Rattus norvegicus: one gene and its partner. The protein of the gene in region 2 interacts with the protein of the main gene of each other region in a pairwise test. Links are inferred from orthologs where the notes say so. Each region holds a gene or a part of one and is shown on either strand. Other genes may lie near its edges.

Evidence for each region.
Region 1: the proteins of Nmt2 (region 2) and Acbd6 interact in binary tests that used the Homo sapiens proteins (3 or more experiments, as listed by UniProt). The link is inferred for Rattus norvegicus from reciprocal best matches to the Homo sapiens genes NMT2 and ACBD6.

What each region holds. Positions count from the first base shown.
Region 1 is NC_086031.1:70,275,698-70,279,998, forward strand, and holds the start of Acbd6 (acyl-CoA-binding domain-containing protein 6), read left to right. Parts: upstream 1-1,379; 5' UTR 1,380-1,878; coding exon 1,879-2,100; intron 2,101-4,301. UniProt on the Homo sapiens protein: Binds long-chain acyl-coenzyme A molecules with a strong preference for unsaturated C18:1-CoA, lower affinity for unsaturated C20:4-CoA, and very weak affinity for saturated C16:0-CoA. Does not bind fatty acids. Plays a role in protein N-myristoylation.
Region 2 is NC_086035.1:79,842,729-79,846,546, forward strand, and holds part of Nmt2 (glycylpeptide N-tetradecanoyltransferase 2), read right to left. Parts: intron 2,590-3,818; coding exon 2,445-2,589; intron 1-2,444.

The DNA of each region.
Region 1 (4,301 bases), on a different chromosome or scaffold from region 2:
TACCAAAACCACATCCCTCATTATCTTAGTTAGGGTTTCCATTGCTCTGAAGAGACACCACGACCACAACTCTTGTAAAGAAAGCATTTTATTGGGGCTGGCTTACAGTTTCAGAGGTTTAGTCCATTTTCATCATAGTGGAAGCATGGCAGCAAGCTGGCAGTCATTGTCCTGGAGAGGCAGCTGAGGGGTCTACTTCTCAGATCTACAGGGATCTGGAAGAGTGAGCCACTGGGCTTGGGTTGGGCTTTTGAAACCCCAAAGCCTATCCCCAATCATATATTTCTTCCAACGAGGACCCACTTCCTAATCCTTCACAAGTAGTACCACTTCCTGCTGATGAAGCATTTGACTATATGAGCCTATTGGGGCCACTCTATTTCAAACCACCGCACTCATCTTAAAGATGAATAACAGCTTATTCTGGAGTCACTTTGAGTGACCACAAATTTAGGTTACCCCAAATCCATCATTTCAATGTGGAAACAGTTTCATGGATTTACAGAACAAAGAAAGTCATAAATTAAAGCAAGCTAAAAATACATTGGTAGGTAACATAGAAGCAGTAACGTTGAGATGGGGAAAACTTTTCTATAAGCCCAAGAAGATAGTTGATGACATTCTTAGCTTTTGGGTCGGTGGAAGCTACCACCACCACCACCACCATAACCACCACCACCACCACCATCACTACTAGCATTACTAGTAGCACTACTAGCAGTAACACGCGTGCGCGTGCGCGCGCGCGCGCACACACACACACACACACACACACACACACACACACACACACACACGTTGATGTGAGACACCTCAACAACTGAGAGCCGTTTCTTCAAGCAACATCCCACGTTGAGGTTCTCAAGACCCTCCCTGCAGGAGAGAACACTAAAAGGTGTTTTTTCTAAAAACTGATAGTAAATGTACGCGGTCGATGGGTGGATATAATGAAGTTTGTGTATGCGTATAGTTTTTCTTTTTGACAGTGTGCTGGCTGTGGAAAGACCTGTCCCTTTGCGACAGAGCTACAGGATTTCTGGGTTTCACTTCAAGAAGTACAGCCGCAGCAGAGATGAGGTGATGCTAAAGGAAGGTGGTTCGAGGGGCCTGGGGAAGCCTTCTCTTAAAACGGGAAATGAGGGGTCAGCAGGTATGGAAAACAAAACACTGATGGGAGTCATTTGACCATTTAGACACACGGTGGGGGCAGTGAAGGAAGGTTCCAGCAGTTGTTGATTCGCTATTCAAAACAGTGAGTGGTTAGGAAAAGGCGGAACCTTTGTCTTCCGCTCTCTGTTTCCCGCGACTCCACTCCTGCAGCTACACTGCCTAATGGACCGCCTCCTTCCCTTTCCCCGGGGGGCCTATCTGGGTGAGTTCCGGAGTTTGTGACTCCAAATTTCCACCAAATCACGAGCGACCTCCCCTAACATTGAGGCCGACCCGCACTGCGCCCGCCTAATCCACGACTGCCTTCTCGGGAGTGCGCGGGCTCGCGGAGCAGGCGAGGTCCCGTATCCACGGGCACGTGCCCGGGCGCGCGTCCCGCGGAGCTCGTTCCCAGCTTCACCTCCCAGCTCTGGTCCCAGTAGCTCGCCGCGCGCCGCCGGCTTCCCCTCACCTCCCAGCCGAGCGGCCTCTAGACCCCGCGCCGTTGGAGCGACCTGGGCGAAGCCAGGCGCTCGGTCCGCCCGAGGGGAAAGGGGAGAAGGACTGGGCGGTCCTGTGCGCCCGGGTAGGCGGAGTGGCAGAATCACCTGAGACCACCAGACAGCTAGCTGCTTCCCACTCCTGCTCGAGCTTCTCACCCGGACTAGTGGTCCAGGCCCGGGAACCCGCGTCACACCGGAGAGGACTGATCACAGCGAGCTAGTGGACATGGCAACACCATTTCTACCCGCGGGGGCCACCACGGGCGACAGCGGTGGGGAACTGAGCTCCGGGGACGACTCCGGTGACTTGGAATCCTTCCAGACCCCTGAGGCCGAGGCGACCCGGAGCCTGGCGGAGCTGTTTGAGAAGGCTGCCGCACATGTTCAAGGCCTGGTTCAGGTGGCCAGCAGGGAGCAGCTCCTGTACCTGTATGCCAGGTACAAGCAGGTAAAGATGGGTGGATAAGAGGACACGGGCTTTTCCTCCAAAAACTTAATAGTAGATGTGCGTGGCTAACGTTCGAGCGTGATGAAGTTTGTATATGTGCTTCGATTTATTTATTTGTTTATTTTTGACCCTGGAGAATAGCATCATTCCGGACGTGGAAAAAAAAATCTCTCTGCTGTCCTGCGAATGATATTTATATAGCCGGGCACCGAATAACAGTGTTTCAGTGGCCTTGCCTCTGAACCTTTACAAAATGAGGATGAGAAAATAAAATTTGTCATTCGCTGTTGCCAACTGGACATGTGGTAGGAACTATGGTAATGCTAATAATAAATTTGGAATTTAAGGGAGTATTACTATATATAAAATGCGAAATACAATATTACTATTGTGATTCTTAGAAACTGTAAATGTAGTTGCCGTGTTTTTAGCTGAATTTGATCCTGCTAGATACAGTCCCTACACTTTTTTTTTTTTTTAAATTAAGGGCTCCATGCAGGCAACATGGAGGGCTGGTGATGAACTCTCGACTCAGCATCCTGAATCGCTTTCATTTCCAAATAAAAGACCCAGGGGAGTAGGCCACTTAGAAAGTTACATGGATATACCGGAATTAAAGTGCAGTTTTTGACTCTAAAACTGAACTTTACCTGAAAGTAAGGAAATGTATGAGTTATAAACGGAAGACTGATTTATCTTGCAAGGTTAGGTACCACAAGGAAAGACTGTTGCTTCCCCTTAGTCAACAGAAACAGCTCAGCAGAACACTGGGTGTTCTGTCTACAGAGAATTCGAGGATGAAAGAACATGATGACACCGCCTTTAAGAAGCTAACAGGATTAGTTAAGGAGTCTAGATGTAAATGTGAAAAAAAAAATCAATGGTTAGGAAATTAGGAAACCCCCAGCTCTTTAGAACTTTGAAAGAAATGAAGTTATGGATAGTAGCCTCTTTTATTTTATTAAATTAAAAAATGCTTCTTGATAGAGTTACATATATTTCTTCTGAACTCTTGTCTTTTTTTTTTAGGTAGTCGTGAGGACCCTCCAGTATTTCTAATTACATTTTGTATTGGGTGTGTGTGTGTGTGTCTGTGTGTCTGTGTGTGCGTGTGTGTGCATGTGTGCACTCGGGTGACAGTGTAGGTCAGAGGACAACTTGCAGGAGTTGGCTCTTTCCTTTCAGTGAGTTGACCCCAGGGTTTCAACTTGGGTTGTCAGGCTTGCTAGCAAGCACGGTTTACACGCTGAGCATCTTGCTGTATTCTTAAACCTGAGATACTGGGTAGAGATGAGCCTTCTTTAGAGGACTGATGGTTATTATGAACACATGCTAATAGTGATGTGGCCTGAGAGGCCCCTGTACAAGGGGTAGCCAGCATCTTGTGTGATGCCAGGTGTGCTGGTGCATGCTCTTGTTCCCAGCACCTTGGGGAGGGAAAGGTGGGTTCTCTCCAAGACAGCAGGTTGCAGGTTAGTTGGAACAACACGGTAAGCCTGTCTCAAAACAAGCAAAAAGTCGTGTAATGGAAAGAATACACAAGCACTTCTGCTACATACCTGGTTATATTGGTTATTTTGAGGAAATTGAGGACAATCAGATATAATTGAATTACAAAGTCAACTATGTTCTTTTTCCTTGGGACTTCGTTTTTACTTAACCAAAACTTTATGGACTCCTTTTAGATGTGGGTGTTTGGCAGATAGTTTCTTGAAGATGAAGTGAACCTGGAAGACAGCTGTAAACGTTTGTTGCCAGTGACTATATTTGAGCTGTCCAAGGAAAAGTAGAGGTTTGGGGAACATGGAGTCTACCATCATGAGCTTGACAGCTCCCCAACGCTCACAGAGTACTTTCATGAGATACGTGTTGGTGATAATGAATGGGAAGTTTCAGTAATGTCTAATGCAGTATGTCAACATTTGGAAATGTCGACTGACGCTGAGCTGTTATCTCTGTATTTCATAAGATAATGTTAAAAGTCAGTGTGAGCAGAAGTCCCATTCAACATGAAAATCAGACAGGTGGTTTTCACTACAACTGTGTAAAAGACCCACAGTGCATTCAGATTCTGCATCATAACTGGTCTTGGGGAAACTAATATTTATTGAGTTTGGGTGTAATATCAGAGAATATCCACAGTTCCTGGGAGTGCTATAAAAATAATTTCTAACACTATATGTGCGATTGAAATTGCTTTA
Region 2 (3,818 bases):
CTCTCAGCATCTTTCAACAACTAAAGCTTTTCCTGGAAAAGATATCTAAGCTGCTCTGCATGGCCACCTGATCTACCCTTCTGCCTTTGTCCATCTCCCATCAACATTTCTTGACCTGTGCCCCATGCTGTGTCTGCCATTCACCATCTGCTGAGTAAGCACCCTCAGGCCTAGTCCTCAGGGTCACAGAATCCTATGAGAAGTGCACGACTCGTATCAGTTCCTCAGGTATCCTCAGGAAAGTTCATGTGGCCCAACCCCCGGCAGGGTCCCCATGAAGTCTAAGGCTTGGCTCTTACTGTGCAACCCTCAGACAGATAGAACTAGTGATGACTCTACATGTGCTTGTCTGCAGGCCTCCCTTGCCCTAACAACAAGGTTCTATTACTAGATATTGCCTCTGGTTGAACTGAAGTGCACCAAGAGCTCCAGCATTCCAAGAACCTTGAAGAATTGGGGCAAGGGGAAAAGCAGGATGAGTCCCAGGCAATCCTTCCTGAAAGAAGGCCTGAGGGTTAGGCACCTTCTCCTCTGGAGGGCAGAAGGCATCTTGATGAACCGCATCCAGGTAAACGTAGTTCACCAAAACCATTAAATCTAGATCCTTCAGCTAATACTCATAATTCAGCATCTAATTAAAGACTCTGTAACTTATTCTAAAAAATATTCCTTCATTAGCAGACACATTTCTAGAAGTTGAAAGAAAAAAAGCGTACTGTCCCCTCTGGTGCAAGGGATGACTCTGGGGCTTCACCCGCTCTGAGCCACTGCTTTACACTGAACCCTATGCTCCCAGCCCTCCACTCTTCCTCCTCCCTCTCCTACATCGTCTTACTCTTTACACTGAACCCTATGCTCCCAGCCCTCCACTCTTCCTCCTCCCTCTCCTACATCGTCTTACTCTTTACACTGAAGCATATGCTCCCAGCCCTCCACTCTTCCTCCTCCCTCTCCTACATCGTCTTACTCTTTTCAAGCTGGGGGGCAGCTATGCGTGGGAAAGGATTGGGACGCATATAACTGATCCGTCAACGCTCAGAAAAACATGACTCCCTGACTTACAATGACAAAATGATTATCCGCATGCTACTAGGCGCTTCAGAGTTTTAGGTGGCAAGTGACCCTCTATGCTGTTTGGAATCTAAATAACCCAATCGTGAATAGGCACAGAACTGAGTCGAAGCAGGGCGTGTACCGTCATGCAACTGGAACACTTTCACGACAGCTGCATCACCTATGCACAGTGGGAATGAAACAGTTATGTCTGTAGGAAGTTAACTGGGAGAAGTCTTAAGTGGAATGTGTTGGAGTAGGTCCTAGGAAAAAGACCCTTTCACAGATCTTTACATGAGCAGAGTCCAAAAGAGCCTTCACTTTCAAAGGGGACTCTGACTCCCATATAATTGGGGTAACTCCCATATAATGTGACATAATTGATACGTCACTAGAGTGTGTTCAGAATCCTGATGAGTATGCAATTATCCACTTAGTGGACTATTATAGGAAAGTTCTTTTCTGAATTGTTTAGAATACCTGAGGCATGGAAAATGCTAAAAAATAATGTAGTGGGAGGTGGTGTGTGTGTGTGTGTGTGTGTGTGTGCGTGCGTGCGCGCGCGTGCACGAGCAAAGGCTCAGTGGTTAAAAACACTTACTGCTCTAGCAGAGGAACAAGTTTGGTTCTTAGCATCAACATGGTACTTTAAAACTTTAAAAAAAATGTATCTGCATGTATGTCTGCATGCCACAAGAGGGCATCAGATCCCATCACAGATGACTGTGAGCCACCATGTGGTTGCTGGGAATTAAACTCAGGACCTCTGGAAGAGAGTCAGTGCTTAACAGCTCAAGCCATCTCTCCAGCCCCCTCAAAAATTTTAACTATAGTTTCAGGGAATCCTCTGACTTCTTCAGGCTTCTGTGGACATCAAGCATACAATATATTCATGCAAGCAAAAAGTCATTTGCATTTAATGAAAATACAAAAATCTTAAAAATACAACATATAGGGGAAAAAAACCCAAAACCCCAACTTCATGAAGCTCAGAAGCAAAGAATAAGAATGAAGAGAAAAAAAACTCATTTCTCTTCTGTTTAGTATATATATGCTGTATATCATGTATAGCATATTCTTTACTATATAATGTGTTACATATTATACTACACACATACACAGGAATGTTTAATAGGAAATTGTAATATATATAAATATGTATATATAAATAAATATAAACATATAATACACATCTCAAGTATGGGAAAACTGGATAATGTATCAGAAACAGCAATTAGGCTACAATCAATGGTATTGAAAATCAATGTCCCTACCTACTATATATACGTATTTTAAGAAGACAGATACTAGCTTTTGTGTGAATTTTGCGTGTCTGACACAAGACTGAAGCTTCTTCACCCTGACTTGTAGAAACACACACATGAGCTTACTCAATTTGGGCACTGGCTGTGTGTCCCAGAACTGGTATCTGCGTTTTGTGGCCTCATCAATGTTCCTGGCTGGGCCTTGGCATGCAGAGAGCAGCTCCATTGCTCTCTGGATGTCCTGTAGCTTCTGAATAGGGATGGTGGGATTCTAGAAGAGCAGAAACAAAGAGACACATGACATGAGGAAGCTTCTACCCTTTGAACTCAGGGCAACTGTGTGCACTGGCCTCAAACACTGCCCCACCTCCTGGAGGCCTGCTAAAGGCTATCTGTGGGCATCCTGAGGTGTTGACAACCGCACTGCTGCAGTTACCAGTGGGCTGCAGCGTCAATGGGGCTCTGCCGGCTTGGGCATGCTAAGTACACAGAGGCACCCTCTCTTCAGGATCCCGCCCATCTGTGCTGCTCCCACTGCTCCTTTGGGAAAAGAAGGCAAAGAGTGACATGCAGGGCATGCATTACTGTCACACAGCAGCCAGGCAGCCAGGAGCCTCGGTTGTGCTGTTAGCGTTAATGCTCTGCGGCAGCAATGGAGGGCAGAGGAAACAAGTTCTAGAACAGAAACTAGACAGACAAGAGATGATTAGAAGGGAAGGAAGGGAAGAGAAAGAAGAGAACCTTGGGGCTATGCTGGGAAGGAAATGGTTAAGAAGAAATCACTAAGCCCTGCTGCTGCTCCCTCCTGGACCACACCCAGACTTTCTCCCACTGGAGGAGCCTGAGACAGAAGGCAGAAGAGAAGCTTCTCTGTGAATCCTCATCCTCAGCACCCACCGCTGGCTCTCCCAGCACACGTGTGGAAATCGAGCCTCATTCTTAGGGAAACAGGTTCTTACTGATAAAGTGGGCAATACTTTTAAATTGCAAAAAGTCCCTTCTCAAAGCCAGTATTTGTCTTTTTCCTTATAGATTCCCCACCTACTGAATTTCTTCAAATGTAATAAATAATACACAGAAACTGAAACTACATTCAAAATGAAACACTGCACATGAGCCTGGATGTAGAAATCAGTGGCTTTTCCCAATTAAATAAGCGAGTTTAAGGATTTTGATACTGCTCAAGTAGTTCCTTCCATTGTGACTTACTTGGAAGCAGTTGGAAGACATTTCAGCACTGTGAATGTGAAGCACAGCGACAGTGGACCCTCCATGGTTTATAAGCAGCTACTTTGGATTTCTGCCCTATTCTGAGTTTAAAGTCTGTGCTCTAGGTAAATTCATCATAACCTGAAAAGCTTCTCATCTGAAGTGCACGCTATCCTGCGGCTACCCTCATTTACTAGGTTTCTTTAGGTTCCTGACACTGAAATTCTCTAGCAGACAAAGCCACGGTGTCTAAAAGCAGCAGGCACTGCCTCCATTCATAAGCACAGAAGC